2 linked regions of the Arabidopsis thaliana genome follow. The protein of the gene in region 2 interacts with the protein of the main gene of each other region in a pairwise test. Each region holds a gene or a part of one and is shown on either strand. Other genes may lie near its edges.

The links.
Region 1: the proteins of PLA2A (region 2) and CYCB2;2 interact in binary tests that used the Arabidopsis thaliana proteins (3 or more experiments, as listed by UniProt).

The regions. Positions count from the first base shown.
Region 1 is NC_003075.7:16,899,999-16,906,030, reverse strand, and holds CYCB2;2 (Cyclin B2;2), read right to left. Parts: upstream 4,436-6,032; 5' UTR 4,288-4,435; coding exon 4,224-4,287; intron 4,133-4,223; coding exon 3,997-4,132; intron 3,913-3,996; coding exon 3,853-3,912; intron 3,776-3,852; coding exon 3,622-3,775; intron 3,540-3,621; coding exon 3,402-3,539; intron 3,313-3,401; coding exon 3,223-3,312; intron 3,145-3,222; coding exon 2,923-3,144; intron 2,838-2,922; coding exon 2,739-2,837; intron 2,661-2,738; coding exon 2,482-2,660; coding exon of another isoform or gene 2,478-2,481; exon of another isoform or gene 2,413-2,477; coding exon 2,265-2,412; 3' UTR 2,030-2,264; downstream 1-2,029. Other genes in the region: SERAT3;2 (serine acetyltransferase 3;2), read left to right, coding at 80-139, 236-276; PSAT (phosphoserine aminotransferase), read right to left, coding at 534-1,826; AT4G35610 (zinc finger (C2H2 type) family protein), read left to right, coding at 5,806-6,032.
Region 2 is NC_003071.7:11,290,143-11,297,847, forward strand, and holds PLA2A (phospholipase A 2A), read right to left. Parts: upstream 5,777-7,705; 5' UTR 5,567-5,776; coding exon 5,429-5,566; intron 5,346-5,428; coding exon 4,977-5,345; intron 4,891-4,976; coding exon 4,729-4,890; intron 4,501-4,728; coding exon 4,198-4,500; intron 4,118-4,197; coding exon 3,945-4,117; intron 3,849-3,944; coding exon 3,770-3,848; 3' UTR 3,560-3,769; downstream 1-3,559. Other genes in the region: HEMD (uroporphyrinogen-III synthase family protein), read right to left, coding at 1-82; HO2 (heme oxygenase 2), read right to left, coding at 1,442-1,534, 1,619-1,726, 2,123-2,205, 2,294-2,375, 2,509-2,732, 2,810-3,284. UniProt on the Arabidopsis thaliana protein: Possesses non-specific lipolytic acyl hydrolase (LAH) activity.

The DNA.
Region 1 (6,032 bases), on a different chromosome or scaffold from region 2:
TGAAAATAGTATTCTGATTTTGTTCTCCATTGCTCAGGCTTTCGTAGTGTGCCAATATGCTAGTTGATTGAATATGCAGATGCTACCAGAGAGTTCTTTCAAAATGTAGCTGTTGCTTATAGAGAGACAATACCAAATGGTAACTTACTTTCTTAATTCCTACAGTGAACTGTGTATTTATATATCTGAGTATAGTTTGGGATCTGAATTGAATTTTGCTTTTTTGTTAAAACAGGATCTTCAGTTTCAGGGAGTTGCAGGGAAAGGAGACATTAAAAAGAGAACATGAGATCACCTGCAGCTTCTTTAAGGCGGTTTTCATCATCAATCATAATCACTTCAAACAAATAACAAAGCTCTTTGTTTGTTAACAAACTTGTTTTTCCAATTGATGGAGAAAGATTTTGATACATTGTTAAACATTATTCATTCTGAAAAGAAGAAAAAAAAACAAATCATAAGCTTTAAAGCTTATCATCTTTAAAGCTTATCATCTTTCAACAAACATAACCAAAATGCAAAAACCCTTAAAACTAAGCATGCTTAGCCTGGAAATCTTTCATGAAAGCAACAAGCTTTTCAACACCAGCCAAAGGCATTGCATTGTAAATAGAAGCTCTCATACCTCCCACTGATCTATGTCCTTTGAGCTGCACCATCTTCTCTTTAGCAGCTTCCTTGATAAACTCAGCTTCCAATTCAGACTTCTCCAATGTGAAAGGCACATTCATCAACGACCTCACTGATTTCTCAACAGGACATCTGAAAAAGCCATTGCTTTCTTCAATAGCATTGTAAAGCAAATCAGCTTTCCTCTGGTTCTTCTTCTCCACTTCTTTCAATCCACCTTGCTCCAACAGATCTTCAAACACAAGACCACACATGTAAATCCCAAAGCAAGGAGGCGTGTTGTACAACGAACTATTCTCATCATGAATCTTGTAATCAAGCATCACAGGAGTAATATCTTGAGCATTCCCAATCAAATCTTTACGAATGATCACAATTGTGACACCAGATGGACCAACGTTCTTCTGTGCACCACCGTAAATCACACCAAACTTAGATACATCAACAGGTTTCGAACAGAAGTTAGAAGACATATCAGCAACCAAGAACCCATTTTTAGGAACAGGGTAATCTTTAAACTCAACTCCATGAATAGTCTCATTGGCGCATATATGCAAATACTTAGCGTCCGGAGTTTGCTCCAACTCCTCAAAAGATGGAACCTTTGTGTATTTCTCAGATTTCCCAGACCAAATCACATTAGTCTTGCAATACTTCTTCGCTTCCTTGACAGCTTTATCACCCCACGAACCAGTAACAACGAAATCGACTGTATCATCCGATTTGCAGAGATTGAGAGGTAAAGCAGCGAATTGAGTAGTGGCACCACCTTGTAAGAACAAAACGGAATATTCCTGAGGAATCTCGAGAAGCTGACGAAGATCCGATTCAGCTTTTTGTATAATCGAGAGAAACTCTTTGCCTCTGTGACTCATCTCCATCACACTCATGCCAGATCCACGCCAGTTGTATAGATCCGCCTGAGCTTTTAGGAGAACGTTCTCAGGCAAAGTGGCTGGACCCGCCGCGAAGTTGAAGACACGTTCTTGGGATCCGACGGAGCCGGATCTAACTCCATCTTGAACTTGAGTCGTTGAAGCGACGCATCTAACAGCGACGGGCTTGGTTTTGCTGACGAAGTTGACGGTGTTTGGTTTGCTGAGGTGAAGAAAGGATTGAGATGATGATTTGGGTTTCAAAGCAGGAATCTGAGTGTTGTTGCTTCCGACAAGGAAAGAGTTCGTCGTAGCCGCCATGATTGTTGTGAGATTCTCCGAGTTTATTTTTGTTTGTTGCCCTTTTCGCTTTTACTTAGACAAAAGATCTGAGAAAGAGTTGGTGGGAGATATATAAATGTAGCTTGAAAACGACAGCGTTTGTGTTAGGTGGTACTAGTTTTGTCTGCGGTGTTAGTATAGTTAAGACTCATTTCCAATGTGTTTTATTTAAAGTTGTAGAAGAAAAAGAGTTCAAATCAAAACTCTCATCCTTATATCATACATATTCTATGAATCTGTAACTATTGACAAAAAATATGATTGGTATAAGAGAATTTTATTGCTGAGATATCAATAAAAGAAAGACTTGTTACAGATCAAATCAGAGGAATGTTTTGAACTTATTTCGTTTGTAATTAAAAATTGAGAGGGAAAATGTTAGCAGCGAGCTATACACAAACTACTATTTTCCACTCTTTAGTGAGAATCTGACACAAGAAAGTGTGCAGCTTCATACTTTGTTGCTATGTATCCGAATTTGGAGGAGCTGTATTTTCTATGTACTCCTGTTAGTTTATCAGTCCCAGCTTTCTGATGTAGTCTCACCATTCTTCTACAACATTCTCTGTAAAACAAACCCATATTAGTTACAAAGATGAGTCTTTATAGGTGCTAATGGGTAAAAGAGACTTACAGGAGTTGATTCTCAGAGTAGTGACAATGGAATTCACAAGTGCTGTTCCATTCACTGAAGCCATGGATTGTACATTGAGCTGTGTACACGGCAGTGGCGGCGAGTAACGATGGTGGATACCGAACCATTTCGTAGTCCACAAGAGCAAGCTCAATCAAGAACGACGCCAAGATCTCAAGCTGTTTCAATAACAAGATTAGTTTGTAATTCACAATCCATTTATATTATTGTGTACATTGATAGATTTGTTTCTTTACCTTCTTGTCTGATTGAGCTGCCTTGAGGAACCTCTTCAAGAAAGGGTATTGCGTTGGTAACGACATATTGAATTGCAAAGTACTAAGCATAATCTTCTCCTGCACACAAAGATTATATTATTGAAATCAGATCAAATGTATAATCTTTTTACCGAGTTTTTGGAAAGAAACAATCTTATTTTACCATTTCTAAAACATCGGTCCTCGTATAAGCTTTGTCCGAAATGACTACCAAATCTTCAACAATAGGTACTGAAACCTCTTCGTACTTGCAAGCTAAGAGCAATGCAACTAAACCAACAAGCTGAAGCTTCTTTCTTGCAACAGCTTGCTTGGACAAGAATCTATCTATCAGATTGACTGTTAGAAACAATGTCTCGTTCATCAGCTCAAACTTATCATGTACCTGAAACATCCAAGAAGCTTCTTAATTAGCCTCTATATATACAATAATCCATTACCATTGAGAGGTGCTTGAATATACCTCGATGAGCCAGTCAATAAGTATTGCTCTCATTTTGTCAGATATATCAAACTGTTGCGCCATGTAATCTAGAGGAACACAGCTAAATCTCTGCAGATTACCAAAATCCATGGAAAATTGTCTCAGTCCGAATTCAAAATCTTATGGTTTTGGTTCAGAGACATATTAAGAAACCGTACCTCGGTTTTACGGTAGAAATCGTAAAGATCTTGGACGTATTCAACAGCTGCAAGAGAGTTGTTTGCATCGTATTCGTCTATATCCAAAACTGGTTCTTCTTGTTCTTCTTCCATATCCTCCATCTCAACTTCTTCCTCCTGTCCAAATCAAAAAACTTTCTTTAGAATTCACATTAAAAGAAAAAAGCTAAAGATCTTTTGAAAAGTGATTGTTAATTACCATTGGATCAAATTCAATGTATGGTTCCTCCAATGACATTGGCATAGGTTGGTCCAATGTAACTTCTTCATTCTTCTCCTCTTCTTCATCAATGAATATGCAATCACCAAACTCGTTTCCACTTGGTTTCAGCTTCTTAGTCTCTTCCTGAGATCTGCAGAAATTCAAATAACATCAGATCTCTCTTTCTCAGCAAAAGAAACGTTTTTGAAAGCTTTAAACTTTATTAACCTTGAAATTGACGGATGCAATGAATCAAGCTTCTTCTTGTCACAGCTTTCTTGTTTTCTCCTATTGAAGAAAATAATCATCAAAATCCCAAAACCAAGAATCAAAGAGACAAACTTTAGGATTCGAGAGAGTTAAGTATATTACTGAGATAAGCCTCTTCTCTTGTTAACAACACAAGGATAAGCTTTTGCACCAACGAGATTGTGATTAATCACACCCAATGCTCTCCTGTTCTGTCTCTTCATCTCTACACCGAATTTTCTGCTTCTCTTATCATCATCTGACAAAACCCAGAAACAAAACAACATCAGACTCTCTGTTCGTCAGACCTATAATTCTCAGATTTTTCAAAGGCGTTTTACTACTACTACCTTGAAGAATCTCTGTAATGGGTTTGACAACGAGATTACGATTGTTCTCCTCTGGATTAACCATTGTTTATTTTACTCGATTTGATAGTGCTCCTGGAGAAGAATCTAGAAGAAGAAGAAGAGCATCAAACGAAGAAGGATCTCTCTTCTCTCTGTGACTCTGTGTATACGTCTGATGCAATTGAATGAATCAGTAGGAGTCAGAGAAGGGGATGAAATAAGCGAGAGAGAGAAATTAAATCAAATCAATTAAAATTAAAGTTGCTACCTTTTTTTATTTTATTTTTTTTTATTATTGAAGGAAATAGCAACGGCTAGGTGATTAAGATGACCGTTGGATCATGAAGGAAACGATTTGTTTCTAAGTCTGTCTAAACCCAACGGTAACTTTTTTGGCCATGTGGTGTGTGTGGTGGCTCTCTCTTTCTCATTTCAAATTTATTATTCCTTTTTTGTGTTTTTTTTGTTGCCTTTTTCAGACAAAGAAGGCTCGTTACCACTAGCCAGAGCCTCCGTAAGGCGCGGCTCTAAGATCTTAAAGTCAACATATTGATTCTTTAATCTTAATCTTAGCTTATTAATCTGTGTTTTACTACAGAGCTAAGAATTGCTCTCTTTCCTAAGAATTATTGTTACCGAGAATTATGCTGACTCTGTAGTAAGTGTTCTTGCCATTTCTTTTTTTTTGGTCAAGCTTTTTAAAAATATTTAATTTAGAGAATATCAAAAATTAGGCTAGATGATTCTGGTCATAGTTATTGTAATTGAATTTCCTTAGAATGGTCAAAAGGTGATTGTGTTTCTAATTTCTTATTCAAATATGTGAAATATTTTAGATAACTTTTTATATCTGCATTTTTAGAAAACTGTTAAACGTTTAGTTAGAGTCTAGTGTGTAGATATTATTCAAAATAATATTTAAGACAGTTGCGGCTTCGCTATATCATATATCACACATCAATGGTTACATTAGTTTTTTTTGGTGTTGCAATTTGTTGTATTTGTGATTTATTACATAGCTTCAAGAGCTTCCTTCTGACATTGAAAACTATGTTTACCGGTATACATCAATGTTTAAATTTTAAATAGTAAAAACATATAGAATAAATAAAGAATGGCTAATAAAAATGATAATGTTTCCACCCAAAAAAAAAAAATGATAATGTTATTGTAATAATAAATAAAGAAAAAATATGTCAAAACAAAAGTTTACAAGTCACGTCATTGTCGGATGTCACATGCATAATAGTATTAGTGCAGTTGCAACGACTCTTGCAATCTCGATGACCAAAAACGCACGAGAAACGATTACAAACAGAAAACAAGAAAAACTCTTGAACCAACCTACCAAGTACGAATAACTTATGGGCTAGTAATGGGCTTTATACGATATTAAGCCCAAATTTACGTAATATCAGAGTTTAGGACGGACCAATCACAAACGACGGATGCAAATCTTCAAACGAAAAGGCGGGAGAGGAATTAACTGTCATAACCGCCATGGTTCAGAGAAAACTTTATATAAGGGCTAATTCAATGTCGTTTTGAAACATCAATCCCTAGACTAAAGTGCGAAAATAGTATGAGTAATCCGAACCCAGAGAAAACGAAAGTGGATGTTACTGAGGAAGAGAAAGAGGAATCTGATGAGCAATGGAGCGATGAAGAAACCAATATGAGAGAAATTGTTCTCGGCCTCCCTGCTTTGAATATCAGCAGTAGAATATTTGGAGAGAGTAGTAGTGTCGTTGAGGAAGATGCAGAAAAAGCGCGTTTGAATGAGCAAGCGGTTCTTGCGGCGGGGTTGAT
Region 2 (7,705 bases):
GTGAAGAATGAAATGAAGAAGAAGACGATAATGGAGGTTGAAAAGATAAGATAGAGCAGTGAGAAAGGAGTAATAATGCCATTAGAAAAAGTTCCAAGATGGAGAGATGTTGTCTCACGGAAGCGCCGGTGAAAATGGAATCGTAGTCGCTTTATTTTGCCGGTGGTTTTTGTCAGAAACAGAAAGAAACCAAATCCAAACGAAGATGATGAATAGTTGAATACAATTCTATCTCCACGTGCGTTTTAATGTCTCTCTTTTTTGTTTTTTGTTTTTTCATTTGAGCCCAATTTTGTTACACTACAGCCCAATAGTGTTTTTTAGTCTATTCAAGTTGTTTACACACTACGGCCCAATAAAAATTTAGTAAAGTTAAATTATGAATCACCAAAATTTGTTAAATATTATTATTTATTATTTCAAAATCTAAAAAAAGTTAGGTTTGCAATCTTGTAATAAATATAGTTCAACAAATTTTTTAGAAATGTTTTACATGCAAATTATCATCTTATTTACATTTACTTAAAAATTTACTACTGATATTACCACTAAAATTGTGTTTTTACATCCAAATATTTCTTAATATTGAAGTATGTATGCTCTTTAACACTACGCACAAATCTCTTTACGAACACATTAAGCCAACTATATGTCTCTTTACTTTCAATTTTGCATGGTTTCTTTAACTAAAATTGTTGATTCAAAAATAAAACTTCGAATGATAGTATATTTATAAGAAAACTACAATTTGAAAATATTCATTATAAAGTTGCCGAATAAGACCAAAATTTCATTTTCGGTTTTGAATAATAGATATCAAATATATATATAAAAATGAGCGATTAATGTCGTCTACAACCCTTGGCCTTCCAAGCTAAGGATGTGGGTTAGATTGATATATACTAGAGTCTTAGATAATTCGAAGATAAATTAAATTCAAAATGTCAAAAAGGTAAAAAGCCAAATGAACTATTATGTTGATGTAGCAACCAAAATAGCTAGTGAGTCATATTTGATCTTTTTATTCAGATAATTAGAAGCAATGATTAGTGTGCAAATCACCAAAATTCAAATATATATAACTGAGGAACAACAATATCTTATCAAACAATCATGAGACGAAGGCCACAACCTTTGGCTACATTTTTCAATAAGTAATTTGGTGACTTATCTTTACTGCTGACTTAAGCCAACAAATAACAGAAAGTTACTCTTCCAGCCATGTAGGCTGGCTGGTGGTCATCAGCTTCATTTCCAGCACTGCCCTGAATTAGCGAGACCACAATGCTTGCGGTATGCATATTGGAGCAATGCAATCTGCAGGGGAGATTTGATTTTCAGTGAAGAGACAGTTGACAATGAAAGTTTTGAAACTATTCCAGACTTACCGTAGTGAACACAGGTCTGGTGCCGGAAACTGTTAACTTTAAAACCTAGATATTTACAAGATGATCAAGCGAACTATCTGCCCCATATACTTAAATGCCTTTGCCGTTTCCTTCAAGCATTTGTTCTTCTCGTCCCGACTCCAGTGCTTCATTTCCCAAAAGCATCACCAAAACATCAGATTTTAGCAACTGGTGGAATGAAGAGTTATAATTTTCATTGACAATCTGACCTCCCCAAGCACGTTAAGCTTCTCACGGACGCCTTTAAGCAAGTCTTGTGCATCCCCTTCCCACCTATTGAACTCCAGCTCCTTTCCTTCCAGAAGTTTCTCAGATACCTTAATGAATCAACTGATCAGTTACATTTGAACACCTCGCATATAAGGGTTACCAAACAATTATGACAGTCCAAATCATGGGATATATTGATAAAAGTAAGAACCAGAACACAACAGAACCAACAAAAAGAATGTACAGTTATGATAAATCTCAAAAATAAAGACAAAAGCATAGTTCACCCGTTGGTTAATACCACATTAACCTAACTAACAGTCGGTTAACAAGTTCTTTTGGGGCAAGCTTTAAACTAATTGAGCAAGCCTGGTGTTGGTTGGTTTTGGTTTAGGATCTGAGTGTTTCTTTATCACAGTTCTATTTGTAAGTTGAGTCTCAATGAAGAAGAATGGAAATCTTCTCACATTCTCATTCTCATTCTTATCGCCACTCTCTCATACCCACCATAACCGCAAAACTCCCGATAAACCCAACTCTCCTGAATCCACTATATCTATATCAATCTCTAACTCTATCAAACTAGCTGTTACCATTCAATATCCTAGATGTGACATTATGCAGTTGAAAATTTCTTCTATGTTACTCTGTGAACACTTATCAAAGAAACTAACCTGTCTTACAAATAACTTGACCACCAGCAATGTGTGAAAAGTATACTAAAAACCAGCAAAACTCCCGATAAATCGAACTCTCCTGAATCCATTTATATCGATACTAATCTTTAATATATCGAACTAGCTTTAACCATTCAATATGCTGGATGTGACCTTATGCAGTTATATAACTCTTCTATGTTACTTTATGAAAGCTTTCCAAAGAAACTAACCTGTCTTACAAGAACTTGACCACCAGCAATATGTGAAAAGTAGATACTGTAGAAATGAGAAAGAAACAAAGGAGCACTTTCTCCTGCTTGTTCTTCCAAATACTTTGCATAAGAAACTCCTACATTACTTGGTTCTGGTATAACCAAATCTTGTTCTCTTAACCATTGTAGATCCTTCTCAATACTTTCACATCTCTCTAATCCTGTTCTCCTAAAGTAAGCATCTGTACATTGAACACAAACCCCATTAACCCAAATCATTACCAAACTGTCAAATTCGAGACCAAAGTAGGGTTCTTACAAGACACATTCTCAGATTCGTCAACAATTCGTTCAATAGTATCGAAGACAAGCTTGCTATCAACTAAGTACTTAAGAAACCCTTCTTTGCTAGGCTTCCAAGTCTCTTCCTTTACTTCATCATCATCATCATCGTCTTCTTCTTCTTCTTCTTCTTCCTTCTCGGTGTCAGTTTTATCTTCAGAAAGATCTAATTTTTTACCATTAACATTGCGTAATCTCATGGCGACGAATCTCATTTCCTCAGTTATACCAATGTTTTCTCCTGGGTATTGTTTCCTGTACCTTGTTCTCTTCCTCTGTGAGGCCTTTTGTTGTGACGGTGTTGGTGTCGAACGACATAGATTGAGAAGATGCTTTTGTGGCTTTCTCTGAGTTGAGATTTGGAATGGGAAAGAGATAGATGTGTGAAGATGAGAGTGAGTGAGCTTACGAGGTGTAGAGAGTAATGGAGTTGGCCTGAGAAGAGAAGCCATGGATTCCGACGACCAAGATAGACGCTGCCTTCACTTTGATTTCTCGCTTTCAGCCTAATCGACAAACATTGGAAAACCAAACACCCTTAATTTTGTTATTATTTACATGTCATGCCATTAATTATTTCATAACTAGCCTAAATAGGGCAGATGTAAAAAATAAATAGTTTTTTTTATATTTACATTATGCTTAGATTAGTTGATAAGCCATAAAAAAAAGGCTTAGATAATTAGATTAGTTGAGATAACTTTGGTTTCAGTACGTACGTGTCTATGTATTATTCGCCATTATTCTATTAGTATAATGTATGTTGAAAAATGACCAAACATTTTAGAGCATTTCCATCCATTAAATATTTATTGACTTTATTCAAACGTACAAGTGACCACAATGTGGTGCAACCTTTTTATTAATATAAATCCAAACGTGCATTAGTGAAACAAACGAATCATCAACAATATACAAGATACAATAATTGATCTCTTTAGATCCTAATTGGAGCTTTTGCATGAGGTGAACGAATGTCTCGGATCTTCTTTTCTTTTGAAAGTATTCCTGCTAACCTTCACAACCAAAATTTAAATATATTAGCAAAATACTTTTAATCACCTTAAGTATGAAAGAATAAAGCTATAAAATGCAAAAATTGGGCCACTTACTTTATAAGAGCATGTTCATTAGTCGTTTCATAAGCATTTTCGTTACAACCCGAGTCTAGGTTGACTCTTGCAACAGGTTTTTTAAGTAGTTCATCTCCTGTCTTGGCAAGAATGTCCAGATTCTCGACGGTAGCGATATCAACAGAAGCAGCATCCCCAGTTAATGTGTCATCCTATATAATTAATACCCAAATCTTAGGAATTGTGGAGACAAAGAAAAAGAAATGGTTAGTGCGCTAGCTGATTTTGATACCTGGATGCGAATATAGTTGGCTTCGGAATGAAGAGCTCGAAAAACGGCAGAGAGATGGAAATCAACCATGTCGGAGCTAGCTTGCGAGAAAGCATCAATGATAGGTGTAGAGTTGTCGTGTGTTAACCAATTCAATAGTCCCCAACCAGCTACTTCTTTTGCATTGAATTTCTCTTCGGCTTTATGATTTCCGGTTCCAAGCGAAAGCACAAGAAACCTTCCGTAATCATTTGGTCTTATTGGGAAAAAGTCACTGCTTCCTCCTGAGATCTCATTTGTTACTTCCCCAATGGCCAACAAAGCCTATACTTGACATATAACAACTATATCATGATCTATTCAAGATTTTTACAGAAAACTCGTATCGATTATTATAAGAAATTCCATAGTAAAAAATGAAATATAGTCTAACATTGTGTGTTCATGTTATAATTATTCAATTTAAGTCCATAATAATTGTTGATATATTATATTCTTCGTATAAAAACCCTATTGCTACATAAATGATAAATCCAATATTTAGAAATTTACCGGGTTGTTAGCTGCAACTCCACCATCAATAAGATTGTATTCTTTAGCGTTTCCGTTTAAATCTTCAACTTTGAAGAAATGGGCAGGCAAGTATGTAGGGGCAGCTGAAGTTGAGATGGCAATGTCTGCGAGGGTTGCGTCCTTGAGAGGATGGTTTTTTACCTATAAAATAGTCATATATATATTAAACCAAAGTTTTGTTAATTATTATATTGTAATTTCACAAATAGAACAAGCTATAAACAAACCTCATAACTACTAAAGATAGTAGGTTGAAGATGCTTGATATCGAACGTTGGAATGACAACGTTGGTAAGTGTTTGACTCAACTTTGTATCACCCAACTTAGCGTGGATAAGCTGATGAAGGTATTTACCGTCATATTTAGGACCAGTCAAGGACTTCACGAGTTTTTTGGCGGCTGAGAATGGGAAATGATCTTGAGGGAAGATCTTCGGACATTGCTCAAGATAGAAATCTTTAATTTCAGACGCTGCAAATAAGGGTCGGCCTTCCTTATTAGGCGCGGTGAGCATGGCTGTCACTAGACCACCGGTGCTTGTTCCCGCTATTACATCAAAGTAGTCTGCAAGCCTTGCTTCTTCTCCATCCAATTTCTATGCATCCATGTATATATATGAGTTAAGAAAATATAATTTTACAAACATAATATTTGTATAGTTAGGTAGCACATATATACCTGGAGTTCGGACTCGAGAAAACCAAGGATAACGGCAGGGATTAGCCCTCTAATGCCACCACCGTCGATGCTGAGGATTGTAACTAAGTTTCCATAGGTCGGGGGCTGGAGAGGAGATTTGGGGCTGTCCATTTGCATCTTACAGAACAAGCAAAGCAATGTATTGATATTTCTTTTTTTTAATGGATATCAATGTATTGATACTTGAGGAGATAGAACTTTGATTGTGAGATATTATGAGAGGTTAATGAACTCTATGTATTTATAGGACACTAGTGGCTGCTGTTTCAAAGTTAGACCATGTCTTCATTCTTAGGATATTAGCTTGTCAAATTAACTTGCATACTTCGTCCTTTGGTTTGAACTCTAATTCTATTGGTTCTTGTTTCTTCCTTTGTAGACAACATGGACTTTTCGTGAGCCTCTTTACTTCTTCCACATTAAGACCATGTCAACCCTTTTATTACAAAACTACAATGTTTTTTTTTGTTCAAATGAAATTAACTTCCCCATTTTCGGGTTTCTTGGTATGTCACTTTTTTCTAATGAATTCTAAGCTTTATATAATTTTCGTTTAGATTCTGCTCACGAGTTCACACACAAAGGATCGTTCTTCTAGTCACCTAGAGACGATGTTAATGAGAGAAAACAACCTACGATGTAATATTACTGCTACTTATACTTCCAACAATGAATCTTTTGTATAAACAACGTAAGCAACTAAGCATGGTCAATTGGTCAAAGAAGTTACTTTACGTTCAATATATTATGGGGTAAAGACAGCTGTGTCATGGGAGTTTTGAAAAAATCAGTGCCGTGACAAATAGAAAGTTACAAAAAATATCTTTTATGGCAATATTAGAAAATCTTTAGTATTTTAGCCGCCGCTCAATACTTATCCCCCAACACTGCAACTTTCTTTCATTGACCAAATGAAGTCAATTTGTACATACAACAATTTGTTTTTCATTTAACACCCTTAGTTTACTATACTCAATTCAAATAATATAAATATGCATATTTTCCCAGAAAAAATACTTTTATTCTTTCTAAATCCACCAAAATTCAAAAATAAATATTAAATTATTTATTAATAACCTTAATTTCAAGTTTTTTTGTTTATGTAATATTTGATCATTTAAGGCAAATAGAGACATACTCAAAGTCCAAGTTTGATATAATTTGTAAAATTATAATTGATTTCAAAATTTATAACACATCTGCTAGACCGTGAGTAATATTAAATTCGAATTGTCACTGATGGTTAGTCACATATGTAAAAAAGTTTGAAAGAGATTTAAGCTATATTTATTGGTTTTAATAAAAAAAAAATTTATGGTTGAACCTCACAGTTACAAAAATAAAAATATATTAAAAGAAAAGTTTTTTTTATTACAAAACAATTTTTTTTTATTGAGCAATAACTTCTTGATGTGAATGTTTTATTGAGCAATATCGTTTTTTTTTGTGGTGCTCTACCGTAAAATTTCGTAATGTATTTTTGGAACAATTGACAAAGAAAAGAATAGAATCGCATATATTATTATTATTTTCCGCGAAAACACTTAGAAATTTTGTGAGCAATATACTTTTATCCTTTCAAATCACATGATTCGACATTGATATGCTGGAATATCTTTTTTTCTCAAGACATGCAAAGTTGAAGTTTCTTCATCATTGAGTTGATAGAATTCTTTGATTAGATAGATAAAGAGATGGAAAATGAAGTTGACACTTTTATTCTCACCCACCAATGTGAAGTATTTACAATTGGTTGTTTTTTGGATCCCAAATTGCAGTTGAAATGATGACAAGAAAAAAAACTGCGGTTGATAATCACCAATCAAACCTATACTATTATCCCTGTATCCCAATATAAAATCAAGAGTTGTACTTGTAATTATATTTAAGTTTGTCTATTTAAAACTATAATGCAAAGAAATGGTTACATTTGTTTTTTTTTCTTATTCTTTTTCACCGGTTACATTTGATTTAATGTAATACTTTTAGAATTAAATAGATCTTGCATTTCATACAAATTTGTATGTTTGAACATTTGCAAAGTGTTATATTTTATTAAGACCAATTGGAACCCAAAATCAATGAATAATTTTGATACGGCAAATCATCAATCTCGAATATGATTAGTAAGTGAGTGAATGTGTACCAAAAATGACACCTTAATTCGTCGTCGTCATCATCTTATTACAATTATCCGATTAGCAGAATTATTATTTCAATTTTTGCTTTCTGAATTTGAATGCTTTTAATATATAT